3 linked regions of the Xenopus tropicalis genome follow. The protein of the gene in region 3 interacts with the protein of the main gene of each other region in a pairwise test. Links are inferred from orthologs where the notes say so. Each region holds a gene or a part of one and is shown on either strand. Other genes may lie near its edges.

The links.
Region 1: the proteins of traf3ip1 (region 3) and kif5a interact in a two-hybrid assay, tested with the Homo sapiens proteins (2 studies listed by IntAct). The link is inferred for Xenopus tropicalis from reciprocal best matches to the Homo sapiens genes TRAF3IP1 and KIF5A.
Region 2: the proteins of traf3ip1 (region 3) and smc2 interact in a two-hybrid assay, tested with the Homo sapiens proteins (2 studies listed by BioGRID and IntAct). The link is inferred for Xenopus tropicalis from reciprocal best matches to the Homo sapiens genes TRAF3IP1 and SMC2.

Annotation. Positions count from the first base shown.
Region 1 is NC_030678.2:140,715,339-140,718,858, forward strand, and holds part of kif5a (kinesin heavy chain), read left to right. Parts: intron 1-2,013; coding exon 2,014-2,118; intron 2,119-2,587; coding exon 2,588-2,736; intron 2,737-3,134; coding exon 3,135-3,283; intron 3,284-3,474; coding exon 3,475-3,520. UniProt on the Homo sapiens protein: Microtubule-dependent motor required for slow axonal transport of neurofilament proteins (NFH, NFM and NFL). Can induce formation of neurite-like membrane protrusions in non-neuronal cells in a ZFYVE27-dependent manner.
Region 2 is NC_030677.2:107,826,281-107,829,325, forward strand, and holds the end of smc2 (structural maintenance of chromosomes protein 2), read right to left. Parts: intron 2,780-3,045; coding exon 2,619-2,779; intron 2,492-2,618; coding exon 2,344-2,491; intron 1,172-2,343; coding exon 980-1,171; 3' UTR 503-979; downstream 1-502. UniProt on the Homo sapiens protein: Central component of the condensin complex, a complex required for conversion of interphase chromatin into mitotic-like condense chromosomes.
Region 3 is NC_030685.2:60,707,999-60,712,148, forward strand, and holds the start of traf3ip1 (TRAF3-interacting protein 1), read right to left. Parts: upstream 2,802-4,150; 5' UTR 2,655-2,801; coding exon 2,532-2,654; intron 1-2,531.

The DNA of each region.
Region 1 (3,520 bases), on a different chromosome or scaffold from region 3:
AATCAACAGTCAGACAGGTTGTGTACGAATGGAAGAAATTCAAGACCATTGTTACCCTACCCAGAAGTGGTCGACCATCTGAGATAACTGCAACTGCAAGGCGTCTAATAGTCTAAGAGGTTACAAAGGAACCCAGGGTAATTCTAAGCAACTGAAGGTCTGTCTCACATTAGTGAATGTTGATGTTTATGAGTCCACCATCAGGAGAATACTAACAGCAATGCTCTCCCCCCAAATTATGGCAGAATTTGGTAAAGATCATGTGGACAAACCAGAACCAGACATTTTGTGGATGAATGAAGCCAAAATACAACTTTTTGGCTTAAATAAGAAAGAAAAATGCTGCACTCAGCATTTGCTGCATCTGGGCCTGAACGGCTTGCCATCATTGATGGAACATTGTATTCTGAACTATACCAGAGAATTTTAAAGGAGAATGAAAGGTAAAAACTAAGTAAGCTTTATCAGAAAGGTCTATTTAAATATAGCCATAAGCACTCACAAAAACACTGCACTGAGTTCTCTGTCAAAAGACATGCAGCTCTCTCCTCTCTCCCCTCTCCTGCTCCCCCCTCCCTCAAGAATGCTAAGAACTCACTCCCCCCCTTAGGAATGTGGATCTGAGCCAATCAGCAGGAAGCTGACTCATAGTCTTACAAACTGCACATGTACACTTGGTCTGGGTCTCGGTGCAGGAGCGAGGCATTATGGGAACTTTCTTTACACAGCTCAGCGTTTTTTCTTCCTGTTTGGCTTCTGATCATCTGAACAGGTCAAATATGGGGAGACTTAAGGGCACTAATGAGACAACTGAAGGTATGCCTGCAGCTTGAGATTAACTCTTTATTAGCCTTTCCTTTTCCTTTAAAGGAAAAGGTCAAGGCATCTGTCTGTGAATCTGTGAAGACAATCCTAGACACACAAGTCATTCTACCAAAGAATGGTTTAACAATAAAGTGAATGTTTTAGAATGGCCAAGTCCTGACCTTAATCCAATTAAAATGTTATGGAAAGATCTAAAGAGAGCGGTTCATGTGAGGAAACCCACCAACATCCAAGTGTTGAAGCTGTGCTGTATGGAGGAATGGGCTAACATTCCTTAGAGCCGATGTGCAGGACTGATCAGCAGTTACCACAAACATTTAGTTGCAGTTAGTGCTGCCAACAGCACAGATACTGATACAGATACAATCCACTTACTTGTGGCACGTGCAGATATGTTATTGGATCATTTTTTTTCAAAAAAAATACATGACCAAATATAATATTTGTTTAACTAGGTTTTCTTCATCTACTTTTAGATATTTTAGGTCACATTCATATAAAAATATAGAACATTTTTAAAGGTTTCGCAAACACAAACTTTTAAGCACTACTAACCAGGTAAACATTGAAACTAGGAGTCCAGTTCAGGTTTGGTCCATAATATTTTTGCTTGATAGTGTATTTATCAGACATGGAAGTGTCTTGCTAGAGTCAGTAATGTTAGCTGCTACATATTAGCTTCAGGGGGTTGTATTTCCTCTTGTAAAGGAAAAATAAATAAAATGACCATCACTAACGCCATTTCTGCAGTTTAAAAAAAATGAAAACTGAATATTAGTTGCTGTGCGATTTTCTGATATAGAATTCTGCCTCTATTAGTATCGGTGCCTCTGCTGTAATGTTGTGCAAAGATTTGCTAGAGGGCACTACAAGGCTGGCAAACGATGATGCCTTTGTATGTATGTATGTATAACTTTATTTATAAAGCGCTACTTACAGTATGTACGCAGCGCTGTACAGTAGAATACATTAATACAAACAGGGGTATTAAAATAGATAAATACAAAGTATTATATTACAATAAGCACAAGTGCTAAAAATGGTGAATGTCCCCCAAATAGTAATGAGGGTGCACAGCTTTGTCTGTAGAAAATATTGGGGTTTGATTAGGTAACAGAGATAAAGAAAATTATCCCTGTATTATTAACTTATCTGCAATTATATGAGAAAACACTTACATCTTTTCAGGTCAGTAAGACTGGAGCTGAAGGTTCAGTTTTGGATGAAGCCAAGAATATCAACAAATCTCTGTCTGCTCTGGGAAATGTGATTTCTGCCCTGGCTGAAGGATCGGTAAGGGAGACCTGTGTTTAGTAAATGTCACTGAAGTCCATTTGATCTTTGGGTATAAAACCCCTAAATAACTTAATCATTTGTATAAAAAGAGTAAGTGTTTTATAGTATGATTCACCTAGCAATTATCCATTCTGCGCAGTTTCAATATACTAAGTTACACAGGTATATTTTAGAGAGAAAAAGTCCCTCAGAATAGACTGTAATTCTAGAGACTGAGGTGCCCCAGTGCCTTCCAGTTGGGGGCTATCCAGTTTCAAGTGTCCCGTGAATGCAGCCAGAGTCAGCTATTGGTTAGGGCAGAAAAGGAATTTATGGTGGGATTACACCAGAGGAGACAAGTCGCAGTTGTATACTGGTTGTAATTTTTAGTATATATATCAGTGGTGTCTGACTACATTTCTGTTGGCGTATTATATATAGTAATTCATAATATGTCCATTTATAGTTATTTACCTTTGTATTTTAGAAAGGTTATGTGCCCTATAGAGACAGCAAGATGACTCGAATTCTTCAGGACTCATTGGGTGGAAACTGCAGGACAACAATGTTCATCTGCTGCTCTCCATCCAGCTACAATGATGCAGAGACTAAGTCAACGCTGATGTTTGGACAGCGGTAATTTTTCAGTGGGGGTTATTAGGAACACAAAACTGAAATGGTTATAAAAACTGGAGGAATCATGGAAAGGAATAAATGCCTATTGGGAGTGGAACAAGAAGGTTGGCATCAGCACACATTAGGCATATGGCAGTTATACCTGGCAACTCATGGTCTATGGCCAGTTTCTGAGAGTTTAAAAAATTCAGAGCTGATTCCTCTGCTTTGACTTTAAGGGATTCTTGTATAGATTGGGAACTTTGACCAGTGTAGATGTAGGTCAACAGAACAGAGCCAATACAACTTTAGACAAACCAATACAACACTACTTATTATGGATTCTTAATTTGTGGTGTCCAAAAGGGTTACTATGAGTGATGTCTTCATTTAATTCCTAACCCTAAACTGTTGTTTAGGGCTAAGACGATTAAGAACACTGCATCTGTCAACCTGGAGCTGACTGCTGAGCAGTGGAAGAAGAAGTATGAGAAGGAAAAGGAGAAGAACAAGACTCTGAAGGAGACTATCCAGAAGCTGGAGGCTGAGCTCAGTCGCTGGAGGAATGGTAAATTTTAGTTTCTTGAAAATGTAACACAAACCCATCACTAAGCAAATGCCAGTTTATGTTTTAGATGCTATAAATGATCATTTTCGTATGGTGAGGAGTCTATGTTTTGTCCTGAATTTTTGTAAGAAAAATAGAATTAATCCTACTACTCGCTTCATTTTATTGATATTTTGATATTTCAAATTTAGGGGAAAATGTACCTGAAACCGAGCAGCTGAGTGACGGGGAGCAGCT
Region 2 (3,045 bases), on a different chromosome or scaffold from region 3:
GACAGGCAATTAGAACACAATAAATCATTTATACAGCCCTTTCATGTCTTGCACCTTCTAAGGTGATCACCCAATGGAGTCAGACCACACCTATTATATATTCTGCACTGTAAACCTATAACCCAAGGGCTTAAGCTAATTTCTCTTGGGGTGCTTTTCATCAGGTTTCATTGGATCCGATTTACTTGAAAAAATTACAGAGGTTAAAAAATGCCTGTCTCCAAGCAATCTGTGGCTATCAGAGGATGAATAGTTCAACTAGAAGGCAATCCAACACAATTAAGACAAAAAATTATACAAAAATGAGAAAAGCACTGCTTAGGTGAAAACTGGAAAAGCTACAATTTGTGTTACTTGCCAACCCCAGCAGAAGAAGCGGCTATTTAAAGGGATACACATACATGCTGCTTCTTCCTATACAAGTCAGTGGTCTATTTTCCTAATGCTGCAATTTGTCTGTAATTTTGCAAGGCTTTAAGAAAATTTCAATAAACAATGCAGCTCATTGGGAAAAAGTTTATTTATAAAAATGTATAATTTGAAATCAGAAATCTCTGGGAAGTAAGAAAGCACACAATGACAGTACACACAGTATATACAGTTGTACTGTACATTCATAGCAACATAAACACTTGTGTTTGTAGTAAGTTTTTCTGAGCGCCTACATGGCATATATATTGTGCTTCTGCATACAATAAGCCAGCTAGTGAAGAGATATATATATATATATATATATATATATATATATATCACATTGAAAGAACACAAACATATTTATATAAATATACACAAGACAAATATTTCAGGTGTAATCTGGCCTCTTCCTAGATGTAATGAAAAGCAAAGAGAGGTGAAAATAAGTAAGTAGCTAAAATGCAGCAGAAATACCAAGATCTAACGTAACATCAAGAAAAGCATAGGCAATAATATTCCACATTTCCTTTTCTGGAATATGAATGTCTCTTATAGAAGAATTTAATCAGTTATCAATGTCCATGCGATTCCTTCTTTCCTTTGCTTTGCTCTTGTCGGATCTCTGCTGCCCAGCAGAACTGCTACCATTCTGATTCTGGGCAAATCTAGCCACTGTTGAGACCCCATCAACAAACTTTGTCTTGAAGAGGACGTTGGCGTTGTTAAACATACCGTCTTTCAGTGACACCACAATGAACTGAGAATGGATGAAAAGGTGTTAAAATGAAGACAAATAAACATGTAAACCCTAAAAGGTACATTTATTTTTAGGTGTGATAGTAACTTGAGCAATTAAAGGGAAAAATGTACCACCCCCCCCCCATTTTGACATGAGCTCATACAGTTGGGCTTTTGTAGAGAGGTGTACAAAGACTAACCTAACTTCTAGTTATAAATATAAATGTACTGAACACATTTACATTTATATCTGGAAATTCAGATTTTCATGTGTTTAGGCACATTTTTACATCAATCCAACTAAATGAGCTTATATCAAAATGGGGGGGGGGGGTATATTTTCCCTTTAAGCATTGCACACACAGTTGGTGATGATGTCCCTCTTTTCAAGTTGTGTGTGTTGTGGTCTCCCTTTAAGGTGATTTCAGCAAGAGCTTATTAATCCTACCAATCAGCTCCCTCAGTTTGTGTGACTGAATATGGGCATGCCATTACCCTAAACCAGATTGCCTCAAACAATGAGAAACAAGGCTGGCACTAGAAAAACTGGATCAAATAACAAAAAGTGGTGCAGTGTTTGTTTTATTCAAAGGAAAAACATCTCAAAGCCCTTCACATCTCTTCAGTTTCCAAAGTTGCGCGACTTCAGAAACCAAAGCGATGTGAAGGGCTTTCCACTGGCGACTTCTGTTGTTGCCTGTGGAAACTCTTTTCAGAGCAGTTACTCACTCACTATATCAGCAATCTATCGCGGGCAAGTAAGTCGCTCTGTGGGTGCTTACCCTAAGGGTGAAGACACACAGAATTACTTAGTAGCAGCTAAACACCAGAATATACCCTGCCATAGACAATACTGAGAATTGCCTTATAAGTAAATGATCAGCATTGTCTATTTTCGTAGCCTTGAAAAGGCTACAAAAAGCTCTGTCTGTGTCTCTTCACCCTAAAAGGTGGACAACAGGTGACCACAGATTCCCCCCCAAAGGATTACTATGGTGAACAGCTTATCTGCATGCTTTGTTGGTGGAATTATAAACTTATAATGAACATTAAACTTATAGGAAAAGCATCTCTTGATGCCCTATTACACACTATCTTGTACTCCAGTGCACTGTAGGTTTAAGTAAAAGCATACTAAACAGTCCTGTGACTAAGCTCAGTTTACATTAATAGCTGCCCCTGCTCCCTTACCTGAGAGTGCCGGAAGTGAGTGCGAAGCATCTGTCCAATGTTCTGCGTGTGAGAAAGATCCAGGGCAGCATCAACTTCATCTAAGATGTAGATTGGGGCAGGTTTGAAAAGTAACATTGCCAGAATGAGCGACAATGCCACCAATGAGCTGAAATGAGAATATCAATAAATTGTAGTGAAACCAAGAATATAAAGATTTGTGAAAATCACTACAAGGCCTTACATAAAGCTTAAAGATAAAATGCTTGCTTTAGGTACTATATATGAATAGGTACCGTTGTCCTCCGCTCAGTTCTGTGAGATTTTCTTTCCATGTGTTGCCCAGAGCAACCTTAAACTCTAGCCCATCCAGCACACTCTGCCCTTCCGGAGGTGCCAACATAGCATTGGCCCCAGGTAACAGGGTTGAGAAGATAGATCCAAAGTCCTTATTCACCTAAAATGGATAGAGAGTGTGTATGAGCAATCATAAACTATAATTAAATGACTTTAGGAGCTGTAAGCTTTCCCTCTAACCAACATTTATGCAAAAGACAGAAGGGTTTATTTATGAGTTGCACAGTTGAAGAAAACTGCAGAAAAACCCCACTCATTCAAGGTACTTGTGTGAACATGGGCTCCTTGCACCTTCATATGGTTGCGCTTGTAGCCACTGCCTTCCCCCTGCCACTTTTTTCCAAACCAAATGCTGTTTTGGCTCAG
Region 3 (4,150 bases):
GCTTTAGGGTTTTATTCACTAGGTTGTAGGTGGTCAGTTATACAGATAGGCACAACAACCAAGGAAACCCAGGAATAACATCTCTTCAATTGATCTGTGTATTGGTGCGGCATTAAGCCGGCCATACATGCACCGATAATATTGTACGAAACCTTGTTTCGTGCGATATTCGGTGCGTGTATGGCTGCTCAAAGAAGCAAACGATATTACAAAAGGCTGCAGATATTGGTCTACTCGTCGATCGGCCAGGTTAAAAGATTTTGATCAGGTGCCTTCAGGTGGAGATAGAATTTCTATTGTTTCAACCTCCATATCTGACGATTCAGCCCTGAACGTCAGTGGAGGGTGGGAACGATCTTTCATGCGACCAATGGTCTCACAAAAGATCAAAATTGATACATGTATGGCCACCTTTAGAAGTTTTTGGGCCAGCCCTCTCATGACTGCTCCTTTGCATCCATGTACCCTGTATGTTGCATTGTGTGCAATTTATCGCAACAGGCTGAACTAGGCACTGGTGCTACATGCAAGTAATTTTTAAGTAAGTGATTAAGACTGCACAAAGCAGCACCTTGCCTTTCTAGATTTGCTCTTATAGCTACTCGTCAGTTTATCTCACATATACCTACAGTACAAAACCTTGGTACTATTATTATATGTTTCTCCAAAATGGCTCCTGTTCTAGGTGATACAGGTATAGGACCCATTATCCAGAATGCTCGGGACCAAGGGTATTCCGGATAACGGGGTCTTTCCGTAATTTGGATCTCCATACCTTAAGTCTACTAAAAAATCAATAAAACATTAATTAAACCCAATAGGATTGTTTTGCATCCAATAAGGATTATATATATCTTAGTTAGGATCAGTTACAAGGTACTGTTTTATTTCCACATAGAAAAAGGAAATCAGTTTTAAAATTCTGAATTATTTGATTAAAATGGAGTCTATGGGAGACAGGCTTTCCGTAATTCGAAGCTTTCTGGATAACGGGTTTCCGGATAAGGGGTCCGATACCTGTATTGTGCAATTACATCTAAAGGCAACTTGGCCACCAGTGCAGAACAGCAAACTGCTGAAAGCTCAAGACTGACCAAATGGGCATGCCTAGTTAGATTTATATATTTATATGCTGTTTAAATGCTTCCTTGTATACCCTGCAACCAAAAGGGAGATTTATTCCTATGATTTTCCTTTTTGTGTACACAGAAAGAAAAAACACCACTGCTTAGATAGAAGGTACTGACCTATTAATCGGTGTAATCGCCCAGATTGTGTTTGTGATTTATTCTCATGTTTATGCCTGGACAGAAACAAGCATATGGGTCTATCTGCAACCAGGCATGAAGCAGGTGCCACAGGACATCTATACACTGCCATAGACTACCCAACGCAGTACATGCTAAAAGCTATAACCTACAACCAGAAAGGGTGTTGGCACAAAGACATTATGGAAAATAGAATGGGAGGCCACACACTAAGGTTTATTAGCCTTTAAATTCCCCAGACCTAGAAATGTCAGATGCAGCCCAATTAACTTCAGATTTCTCTTTTACTGGGCATTCACATAATTTGCCTGGAAACAGGACAAGAAATGTTCTGCACACCACCATGGACTTCTCGGCCACATTGCATTAAAACAGAAGATTCATGTGTATTTCACAGAGACCTGGATTTTTCACCACTGCAAATTATTTCATTTATATTATTGGAGATATTAATATTGCACAGACTCTATGACAGTCAAGTAATGTAAGTAAAACAGTTGTGTGTTTTAGCCTCCTCTCAAGCTATCATGTGGGGATAGAAATATCACACAGTACGGAGGTCCTGGCTAGAGAGCAGTCCCCATAAGATCTGCTCGTTTGGCGATGTCAGGGTAATTTTTTCTATGAATTCTTTAAATTTAGGCACCAATATTTCCATAAAATCAGCCGAACAAAGGAATAAAATGTAAAGCAACACAGTGTAGGTTTGGGAAGATTATGCAGCATGTTACAACTTTGGTCCAACCCAAAGAGCCAGCGATGTGGAAGGAATCCTAGACATTGAAATCTCACACATCCAAGAGATATGGTTTCCTAATCACCCCATAAAGACAGAGTGTAGGTAGTCTGGCAAACTAGGGGGTATGGAGATACAGACAGTAGAGATCTCCAGCATGGCAGTCAGTCAGTAAGTGGCAGATATTGCTAAATAGTGCCCCCCCCCCCCCCCCCAGTAAGTCATGCTGGGGCAGCATATACCCAGTGATACCCAACCTGTAGCCCATCAGCTGCTGCTCCCAACTCTCTGGCTGAAGGTGGAATACATTGCTGAGAGTTGCAGTTTACATGAAGCTGGAGGGCCGCAGGTTGCACATCTATAAAATGTATAGGCAAATTATCGAACAATTATTACAAAGTGCCCATGAACTACCAGGGCCCAGTGAGAATGTACTCTCTGCTCTACCCTAATTCCAGCCCTGACTTGTACAAGAACTACATTTCCCAGCATCCCTTGCCAAAAGAAACAGAAGCCCGTGAGCTCACCTCAGTCAGGATATCATGCAGATAGCGGAACGGAGGTTTTCCCAGTAGTTTTTCGGTAAGAGGAGGTTTGCGAATCACTTTCCCCAGGGTTTCCTGAGTGCGCCCAATAATCGCAGGGTCCATCTCACTGACAAGCTAAACACACGACCCTCAGCTCCCCTAACTTGCAGCCACCACTTCCCTACAAGCGCCAGGCTACAGCCCTCTTCAGCGCCAGGCAACCCTATCTTACCCACAAGCCATTGCGTTCTGACCTCTGCGCATGCGTCGCCTCTCCTGTTACTAAGCGTCCGCTGTCATGGGAACCAACAGTAACAGAGCGCGGGGTGGGGTTCTATTAGGTCATAACACACTATACAAACTCATTGCGTAAACTAGTAAGGTGTGAGGTGCAACGTTCACTAAATGAAATGAAAGCTGAGGGTCTCATTGGGAAACAGAAAGCTGGGTCCTACTCATTTGCACTTTAGCTATAAAGGGTACTGCACTGACTAAAGGATGCCAGGGGTATTGTGCCAGGGGGCGAACGTGTTGCGTTTGTGCTTTCTTTAATCATATGAGGTGCAGTACCATCAGTTACATTACCCTGTAATATGAGGCCCACACATTTGTAACCCAAATGGCAAACTATTCAATTTCACGTAAATAATTTACCATTTATTTCGTTTGTTTTGTTTATATCTGGGTACATTTTTTTATATTTCTCTCTGGCAAGCCAACATTCAGTATTTCTATCTCCAGTCATTGGTATTATCCCCTTCCTACATTTATGAATTGCCATATATCCCAAAGCCTGTTGGCTTTTTTATAATAGTGCAAATTCATGAGATTCAATGAATTTAAGTTGGCAAATGATTTTCTTTTCTACTGCATAGGCGGAGGGTGAGTTTTTTGTTCGGGGAGGCTAAAGATGGGCCATGCATAGACTGACCTACAGCTAATGTGAAACTTAGTGGATTGGCTGTTGATGTAAAAAATGAACCCCCAACTACCTCTTGCCGTTCCCACTGACTTCCAGGGATACTGTGCAAAAGTGCGGATGGGGGTGTATTTTCACCCTAACATGCTTAGGATATAAAAATATTCATACATGCACTTCTGTGAGGGGTTCTCCATCCATTTGTGTTTAGGATCAGTTAGCTTAAATGTGTTTTAGTTAGTTTTATAGTGAGAAAGGCAGTGGGTACTGACATCCCAGGCACATTATATACAGTGAGACCCAGTCTGTATTTACAAAACTATCACCATAAGGCAGGCATATGCTCCCTGTGTTTGCCATTGTGTCTGCCATTGTTCAACTGGTCGTGCCTCAGACAGAATGTAACATAGTAAGTTAGGTTGAAAAAAGAAGTATGTCCATCATGTTCAACCATAATGCCTATATATAACCTGCCTAACTACTAGTTGATCCAGAGGAAGGCAAAAACCCCATCTGAATCCTCTCTAATTTGCAGCAGAGGGGAAAAAATTCCTTCCTGACTCCAAGATGGCAATCGGACCAGTCCCTGGATCAACTTGTACTAAGAGCTATCTCCCATAACCCTGTATTCCCTCACTTGCTAAAAAGCCATCCAACCCTTTCTTAAAGCTATATAATGTATCAGCCAGTACAACTGATT